Canis lupus familiaris: one gene and its partner. The protein of the gene in region 1 binds, or shares a complex with, the protein of each later gene. Links are inferred from orthologs where the notes say so. Each region holds a gene or a part of one and is shown in the gene's direction. Other genes may lie near its edges. The genes, in order: creatine kinase B-type and ASB9.

The links.
Region 2: the proteins of creatine kinase B-type (region 1) and ASB9 are in contact, whole or in part, in a cryo-EM structure (PDB 6V9H), measured with the Homo sapiens proteins. The link is inferred for Canis lupus familiaris from reciprocal best matches to the Homo sapiens genes CKB and ASB9. Residues at the interface, in NP_001814.2 of Homo sapiens: Asn63, Pro64, Gly65, His66, Pro67, Tyr68, Ile69, Thr71, Arg130, Arg132, His191, Val198, Ser199, Pro200, Leu201, Leu202, Leu226, Trp228, Glu232, Ile238, Met240, Asn286, Arg292, Gly303, Lys304, His305, Glu306, Lys319, Arg320, Gly321; in NP_001026909.1 of Homo sapiens: Leu25, Asn27, Pro28, Leu29, Met30, Gly31, Asp32, Ala33, Val34, Ser35, Asp36, Trp37, Pro39, Glu42, Ile45, His46, Trp60, Ala67, Asp68, His69, Glu75, Ala100, Asp101, Trp102, Val111, Asp133, Leu134, Ser165, His166.

Annotation. Positions count from the first base shown.
Region 1 is NC_049229.1:71,688,322-71,692,602, reverse strand, and holds the start of creatine kinase B-type, read left to right. Parts: upstream 1-1,291; 5' UTR 1,292-1,452; intron 1,453-1,747; 5' UTR 1,748-1,775; coding exon 1,776-1,968; intron 1,969-2,169; coding exon 2,170-2,324; intron 2,325-2,398; coding exon 2,399-2,531; intron 2,532-2,762; coding exon 2,763-2,934; intron 2,935-3,640; coding exon 3,641-3,764; intron 3,765-3,958; coding exon 3,959-4,148; intron 4,149-4,226; coding exon 4,227-4,281. UniProt on the Homo sapiens protein: Reversibly catalyzes the transfer of phosphate between ATP and various phosphogens (e.g. creatine phosphate).
Region 2 is NC_049260.1:11,557,093-11,560,894, reverse strand, and holds part of ASB9 (ankyrin repeat and SOCS box protein 9), read left to right. Parts: intron 1-2,455; coding exon 2,456-2,606; intron 2,607-3,802. UniProt on the Homo sapiens protein: Substrate-recognition component of a cullin-5-RING E3 ubiquitin-protein ligase complex (ECS complex, also named CRL5 complex), which mediates the ubiquitination and subsequent proteasomal degradation of target proteins.

The DNA of each region.
Region 1 (4,281 bases):
GTCGGGCTCCCTGCATGGAGCCTGCTTCTCCCTCTGCCTGTGTCTCTGCCTCTCTCTAACTCTGTGTGTATCTCATGAATAAATAAACAAAATCTTAACAAAAAAATAGCTGTGTAATACTCCCACGCTGGGTACATGCCTTCCTAGCCCTGGTCAGTCCCCAGGTGATGGGCATCGAGTTCTATCCAAGTTCATTCGTGCCTTTGCTTTTCCCACTGCACATTTCTATCTGCAAAGAGGAATGAGACTGTCCTTTGTGCAGGCTGGATTCCTAGAAATAGGATTGCTGGGTCATGGAGTACAAACATTTTTAATTCTAATAGATACTGCCAGATTACTTTCCAAAAAGGACGTGGCAGTTTACAGTTGCAGGGAGTGTGTGAATGCCGTCTCCACATTCCAACCCATAGCCAGCACTGGCTGGTGTCAGTCTTTCACAGTCTTGCCATCTGGGTGTGCTTGGGGCGAGGGGAGGAAGGTACAGTCCTTGTTGTTTTAATTTGGAGGATTCTGATTTTCAGTGAGATATTTTCCTTTGTTTCTAAATCTCACATATGCTTGTTGTTTGTTAGTGTTTCCTCCCATCTTTGCCGAGTCTCTGGGGACCGCCTTTGGGGGTGGGGTGATGAGATGAACTTGTCCCCCGTCCAGGGCTGGGGTCTGGAGACTCTGAGACTGTGCACTCCCCAGCGGCCTACCAGGGCCACAGTGTTCTCTCCTCTACCAGGAAAGGCTGGCCCCGGGGGTCTCTGGCTGGGGTTCCCGAGAACTGGGGGACTTGCCCAAGGTCAAGGCACCGCGGGCGCCGCCCCGCTGGGCCCCAGCCAGACTGCGCCTCCCGCGTGCCTTCACTCTGCACCAAGATCGCCCGGGAGATGCCTGCGGGCACCTTGAGGAAGGTCGGCGGCTCCGGTGCAGCTCCGACCCGGCGGGGGTAGGGTGGGGGAGGAGCGAGTACCTGCGGCGAGAGCCCGGGACGCTCACGCCTGGACCCTCGTCGCGACCACCGTGGGGGCTGGCGGGACCAGGGAAGGCCAGAGCCCGGATGCAGAGGAGCCCGAGCGTCTTCAAGCGCCCAGTGGCTCTCCTGCCTCAGTTTCCCGCCCGGACGCAGCGTGGGAGGGAATTTCCAGGACGTCCAAGGGCCTGAGGTTTCGGCAGCGGGGTCCTGGGCAGGCGCCGGACGGGGAAGGCGGGCTGCGCGGGGTCCCGGCGAGGGGACAGCAGAGGTGGGCGGCCTTGGGGGGTTGTTGGGGGCCGCGGGTGGCGGACAAAGCGGCGGCACCACCCCGCAGCGCGGGCCAATGGAATGAATGGGATATAAATAGCGGCCAATGGGCGGCTCGCGTCGCGCCCCTTAAGAGCCGCGGGAGCGCGGAGCCGCCGCTGTTCGCCTGCGCCGCGCCCGGAGCTGCCGACGGACCGACTGCCCCTTCCCCGCCCGGCCACCCGGTGAGTGGTGCCACCCGAGGCCGCCTGTGCTCGGGGGCGGGGGCGCTGCTCAGGGAAGGGCCTTGTAGGCCGCGGAGTCCTGCACGCCACGGTTCGCCGCCTGGAGCGCGCGCTGGCTGGGCCTGGGGTTGGGGTCCTGGGCGGAGCGCGAGCGCCCCGCGCGCACTGCGGCCCCTGCTGACCTTGGCCGCGTCCCAGGGTGACCAGGAGCCCGGGCGGCGAGGCCCTGGGTGGCCCGCAGGTCCCGGGGGGCCCGACGCGCCGGGTCCTGGCTGACCCCCCAGTCTCCCCGCAGCCTGCCGCCCGCCGCCGCCGCCGCCGCCATGCCCTTCTCCAACAGCCACAACACATTGAAGCTCCGTTTCCCGGCCGAGGATGAGTTCCCCGACCTCAGCGCCCACAACAACCACATGGCCAAGGTGCTGACCCCCGAGCTCTACGCGGAGCTGCGCGCCAAGAGCACGCCGAGCGGCTTCACGCTGGACGACGTCATCCAGACCGGCGTGGACAACCCGGGTACGCGCGCCCGGGGCCCGGGGTCTGGGTGCGGCCCCCTGATCCGTAAGACAGCCTTTGGGGTTAGGATCCAGAGCTAACCCCAGAACCCCTCTCAGGCCAGGGTTTCGGCGCCCCCTTCCCGCGCGGAGCTGCGGGGTCCTGAGGGCCTCGCTTAGGCCTGGCAAGTGACATCACTGTCCCCATTCCGTGTTCCCCCAGGCCACCCCTACATCATGACCGTGGGCTGCGTGGCAGGCGACGAAGAGTCCTATGACGTGTTCAAGGAGCTCTTTGACCCCATCATCGAGGACCGGCACGGCGGCTACAAGCCCAGCGACGAGCACAAGACCGACCTCAACCCCGACAACCTGCAGGTGCGGAGCGGCCCCGGGTAGCGGGGCGGGCTGGGTAGGGGTCTCCCGGCGCTCACCTCCGCTCCCGCCCCCAGGGCGGCGACGACCTGGACCCCAACTATGTGCTGAGCTCGCGGGTGCGCACGGGTCGCAGCATCCGCGGCTTCTGCCTCCCCCCGCACTGCAGCCGCGGGGAGCGCCGTGCCATCGAGAAGCTCGCCGTGGAAGGTAGGGGTCGGGCCGGCCGGTTGCCCCCCACCCCCCATCCGGCTTGTTTATCAGTCACCGCAGTCACCCGAGCCTCCGCTGCCACGCTCTTATCTGCGCGCCGGGTCCGGTTTCCCGGGGGGACGGAGGCCCAGCCCCGTGTCTGTGGCGGCCTGGGCCGGGTTCCCACAGAGCCGGGGGGCCCTGGGGGCAGGGGCTCGAGTGTGCCCTCCTGAGCGTGCCCCTCTGCAGCTCTGTCGAGCCTGGACGGCGACCTGGCCGGCCGGTACTACGCGCTCAAGAGCATGACCGAGGCGGAGCAGCAGCAGCTCATCGACGACCACTTCCTCTTCGATAAGCCCGTGTCGCCCCTGCTCCTGGCCTCGGGCATGGCCCGCGACTGGCCGGACGCCCGCGGCATCTGGTGTGTGCCCCCTTCCCCGCCCGCGGGTCCCCTTCCCTCCTCCCTTTGGCCCTCCCCCACGCCGCCGCCAAGGAGGAAGAGGGAGGGGCCGCGCTCCTGGGACAGGTTGGTGCCTCCAGGGCCTCCTCGTAGGTGACCTTGACCGCGCAGGTACGTGAAGGGACTCCAACTAGTGGAGGCCGAGGCCTCGCGGGATCTTAGAAGTGGGCGGCGGGTGGCGTCGGCTTCTCTCCTCCACTCTCCTCTTGGGAGCTGGAGCTTGTTTTGCGTCTCCTTTCTCATCCCCTTCCCCGCGGGGACTGCCAGGTGCTGGGTGACGCAGATGCTTCCTAGTGGGGGTTGGGGGCGGCGGGAGGCTTACAGCCTCCTGCCTCCAGGGTCTGCGAAGGGCGGCTTCAGCCGCCAGATGACGCGTCTCCCTGCCCCTTACCTCCTCACTGGAGCCGCCGCCCCCTCCCCCACACCTGGGTCACACCGCAAATGACTGGCAGGCTGGGGCACAGCTCAGGTCCTGGCCTCCCTGCATACCTCCAAAGTGTGGATGGCTCTGGGGTCCTGGCAGCAGCCCAAGTATCTGGGTACAGCTGGACTGAGCACCTCAGGGAGTTGGAGAGTTCCTGGGGTCTCAGGCCCCCCTAGAGCTTTTTTCTGGATGTATCCTGAGACCATAGTCCTAGGAGGCGGCCTGACTGTGCCCCTCCCCCAGGCACAATGACAATAAGACCTTCCTGGTGTGGATCAACGAGGAAGACCACCTGCGGGTCATCTCCATGCAGAAAGGGGGCAACATGAAGGAGGTGTTCACTCGGTTCTGCAACGGCCTCACCCAGGTCAGGCCTGACTGCCCCAAGCTGGGCTGGCACAAGTGGGCTTTGGTGCCAGGGAGGGGGCAGGGCAAGCTCCAGAGCTCCAGAGCTCAGGCAGGGATGTGGGTGTCCCCACCAATTTCCCTGGCTCCAAGGGTCCCAGCTGGTCCCCCCAGCGGGCCTCTCAACCAGGTCTCTCCTCTCTTGTCAACCTCCAGATTGAAACACTTTTCAAGTCAAAGAATTACGAATTCATGTGGAACCCTCACCTGGGCTACATCCTCACCTGCCCATCCAACCTGGGCACAGGCCTGCGGGCAGGTGTGCACATCAAGCTGCCCCACCTGGGCAAGCACGAGAAGTTCCCGGAGGTGCTCAAGCGGCTGCGGCTTCAGAAACGAGGCACAGGTGAGTGGGACGGGCTGTAGGCAGTCTTCTGTCCGGAGCAGGCCCCCACCCGCCTTGCTGACCTGGTTGTCTCCCCAGGTGGTGTGGACACAGCTGCGGTGGGTGGCGTCTTTGATGTCTCCAACGCAGACCG
Region 2 (3,802 bases), on another chromosome or scaffold:
GGTCCCTACCGGAAAGTGGGGACCAGTAAGTCTTCCATTCACTACGTCCCCTCAAGGTCAAAAGTGACAGACAAGTCTGATTAGAAAATTACATATGTGGGTTTCTCATGTTCTCTCAACCTGTATTTCCTGAGCATTTGTTACATGCCTAACCCTGGATGAAGATCCTTAGGAACTTATAAATTAGATGAGGACCCAGCCAGATAAATAGGCGAATTAACAAATATCACACTCGTCACATTAATAGATAAAACCTGAAATCTTGGTGGCCTGGTACAACACAAGCATATTTCTTACTGAACTGAAACTCCAGTGGGGGTGTTCCTGGTTGGGTGGCTCTTTCCTGGGGGTGATTCAGGCACACAGGTTCCTTTCATCCTGTCACCCCACCATCTTCAACAAGTGACTTCCACATATGCTACTAGTAGTCACCTCCACTCCAGGAGTTTGGAAGGAGAAAAGATGTGGAGGGTTGTGCACAGAGGACTTTTAAGGGCCTATCTTGGCCGTGACGTATGTCACTTTTGGCCCCACATCCCATGGGCCAGAACTTGTCTCATGGCCTGGGAAGCTGGGGAGTGTAGTCTGGCTGTGTGCCCCGGAGAGCGAGCGGAAGTAGCTTTGTCGGATGCACATCTCTGCCACAGCGGGCAGTTACCAAACATTGTTTCTTCCTGTTCTATTTGGCTGTGTAACAAGCCACCACAACTGAATGACTTAAGACAACAGCCATTTACTTATCTCACAGTTCCTGTGCCAGCCAGATAGGTCTGACCTGGCCTGGTTCGGCTGACCTCAGCCGGGCTTACTTAGGCCTTGAAGGTTAGCTGACAGGTTGGCTGGGGAGGGCCGCTTCGCAATGACCTTGGCTGGGATGGCTGGGGTGACAAAATCTCTGTGTGGTCTCTCATCCTTTCACAGGCAGCCTGGCCTGGTTCCCATGGTAGCAGGGATGCCTAGAGCATCAAAAAGAAGGCAAGCTCTCATTTGCCATCGTCCCACTGGGCAAAGCAAGTCCCATGGGTGAGCCCAGGTTCAAGGATTAGAAAAGTAGTCTCCATCTCTTGATGGCAGGAATTGCATTGCTACATGGCAAAGGGATATGCAGACAGTGCGGAGAATGTGTGGCCATTTTTGCAAACCACCACCGTGTGGCAAGAGTGAGTGCTGTGATGGGGGAGAGGAAGTCTGAAGAGGCTTCCTAGGAGGAATGATGTCTAAGTTGAAACTCAAAGGATCTATTGGAATCAGCCAGTTGACTGGTGGGTTGGGGCAAGTTGTGTGCTTCCCGCCCACTGGGAAGGGCTGTTGTAAAGGCCTGGAAGTGAAACTGAGCAATTTAAAAAAAATAAATTTCAAATCGCTCCTTATGGCAGCAGAGTGGGTAAGAGGGGCCAGCACACAAACAGCCTTGTTGTCCTTGCCAGGAAAATGGGCTTTGTCCTGAGAGCAGTAGTAGAGAGCCATCGGTGAGTGCATCATCGGGTTTATATAGGGTTTGAGAAAACCCACTCCACGTGTGGAAACAGGACCAGGACTCAGGGGAGGCCTAAGGGCACCTAGGATGCCAGCTCTGGAGAGCCACTGCCTCTCAGGGTTGTTGAGCACTTGCGTGGGCCTGGAAGGGAGGGTCTCCTTAAACTTTGCACCCGGGACATCTTCTGTGCCTCACTAGTCCTGGCCTTCCTTGGAAATGGTTTGTAAGAAGGCTCTTCTCGTCTGCAGTATAGTTTCTCTTAACAGTGTAGAAAAGTTGCATTTGGCTTTGTTCTTCCCTATTTGGTTATAGCCCAGACACTGTGAAGTCAGATGTGAACTGCAAGTTTCTGTCAGGTTTCCCACGTTAGGAAAGATGGCCCCAAAGACTGTAGTTTTCTGGCCCTGAAGGACGGTAGCCAGTCTTGTATCTGTTAGCAAATTTATTTCAGCATTAATTGACTGACTATATAAATTCCCCTTTGAGCCAGCCTTACCATCTTCCTGGTTCTCTCCCTAATGAACGAATTGAAGGAAATCTTTGGCACGTATTCACCCTATATTTCTGTGAAAGTCATGTTTTAAAATAAAAAAAAAGTAACGTTAATAATACGTTCCTCTCACTACTGTAAAGGACACTGGACTGGTGTGGGACAGGTCTAGGGTGGAACATTTAAAACAAGGAGAGGAGTTTGTAAGCTATATAGGATCATCCCAACTGGCTTCAGAATTCCTGTTCCTGGGGGCGTGGAAGTGATAGAACATTCGGCAACATGTTCGGTGCCTCAGCTCATTCGGTTTTTCACAACCTTGTGGAATTTGGTTGTTGTTGTTTTTGGAATTTGCTATTTTTGTCGTCATGTTATAGCCGCGGAATGGGAGGCTCAGGGAAGTCAAATAACAGCTTGACAGGAGTGGAGGCTAGATTTGAACCCTGGGCCCCCACCACCTGCCTTCAGCCTGGCGCTCTTCTTTCCAGGTGGATGGCGTTACCACCGACTGGCACACCCCTTTGTTCAATGCGTGCGTCAGCGGCAGCCAGGACTGTGTGAATTTGCTTCTGCAGCATGGGGCCAGCCCCCACGCCGTGAGTGACCTGGCATCGCCCATCCACGAAGCTGCTAAGAGAGGTAAATCTATGGAGAATTTACGTTTTCCGCCTCTCCTTCCGCAGACATCTTACTGTTGCAAGGACGAAGCAAGCGGAGGGGTGGTTTTGAGGGACCTTTTCTCAGTGTGAGGTCCTGGGACCGGAAGCATCCGCCTGGCCTGGCGTGCAATTGCAGACTCTTGGCCCCCACGCCAGACACACAGAATCAGCAACTCCGGGGTGGGGCCCGGCCATGCGTGTTTTGTTTAGCAAGCATCTAGGTGATTCCGATGCACAGAAAGTTTGGGAACCACCCTTTCGGAGCATCTGGAAAGTTGTTCACTGCTGTAGTTCTGGAACGGGGTCTGGCACATAGTAGAACTATCCATGCATATTTGTGGAATATACTGTTGAACCCATGACCCCGTATAAATCCAATTATTTTGTAAAACACCCTCTACTCTTCTGTTTTCGGGCCTTAAAGAATATTGTCTCGGGGCCACCTAGGTTTTTTAAGTGAAACACACTTTGGATTTTTGGAAAATAAGGTGCCATATACGGCTGGGGGTAATTCTCCACGCCTGACTCTATCGAGGTATACCTGACAAAGTTGTATTTCTTTCGGGTGTACTAACATGATGACTTGATAGACACCCACATTATGAAGCAGTTGCCACAATGAAATTAACGAAAACACAGTTACCATTTTTACGTGTGGGGAGAACACTTAAGATGTATCCTCTTAGCAAATTTCAAGTATACAGTATTGGTATTATTGCATAATGTTGGACATGAGATCCCCAGCACTTACTCAGCTTGGGGTAATTCTTTTTTTTTAAGATTTTATTTATTTATGAGAGAGAATGAGAGAGAGAGAGGCAGAGACACAAGCAGAGGGAGCAGCAGGCTCCACGCAGGGAGCCCGATGTGGGACTCGATCCCAGGACCCCAGGATCACGCCCTGAGCCAAAGGCAGACGCTCAACCGCTGAGCCATCCAGGCGGCCCTGGGGTAATTCTTTTTCATAAAGTCACAGCTTTCCCGATATTCTTAACTCGGACACAAAAAATACAATGGCAAGTTTTGCTTCCCCCCAGCGTCCATTGCCGCCGTCATCCCCATCCTGACCGCACGCTGCCAGTAGGGTCTTACCTCCCCGGTGGCTTTCACAGAATGGCTCCCCAGTCCTATTTGACCGAATCCATCCGTAGGATCACAATCTCCCAAAGCATTGAC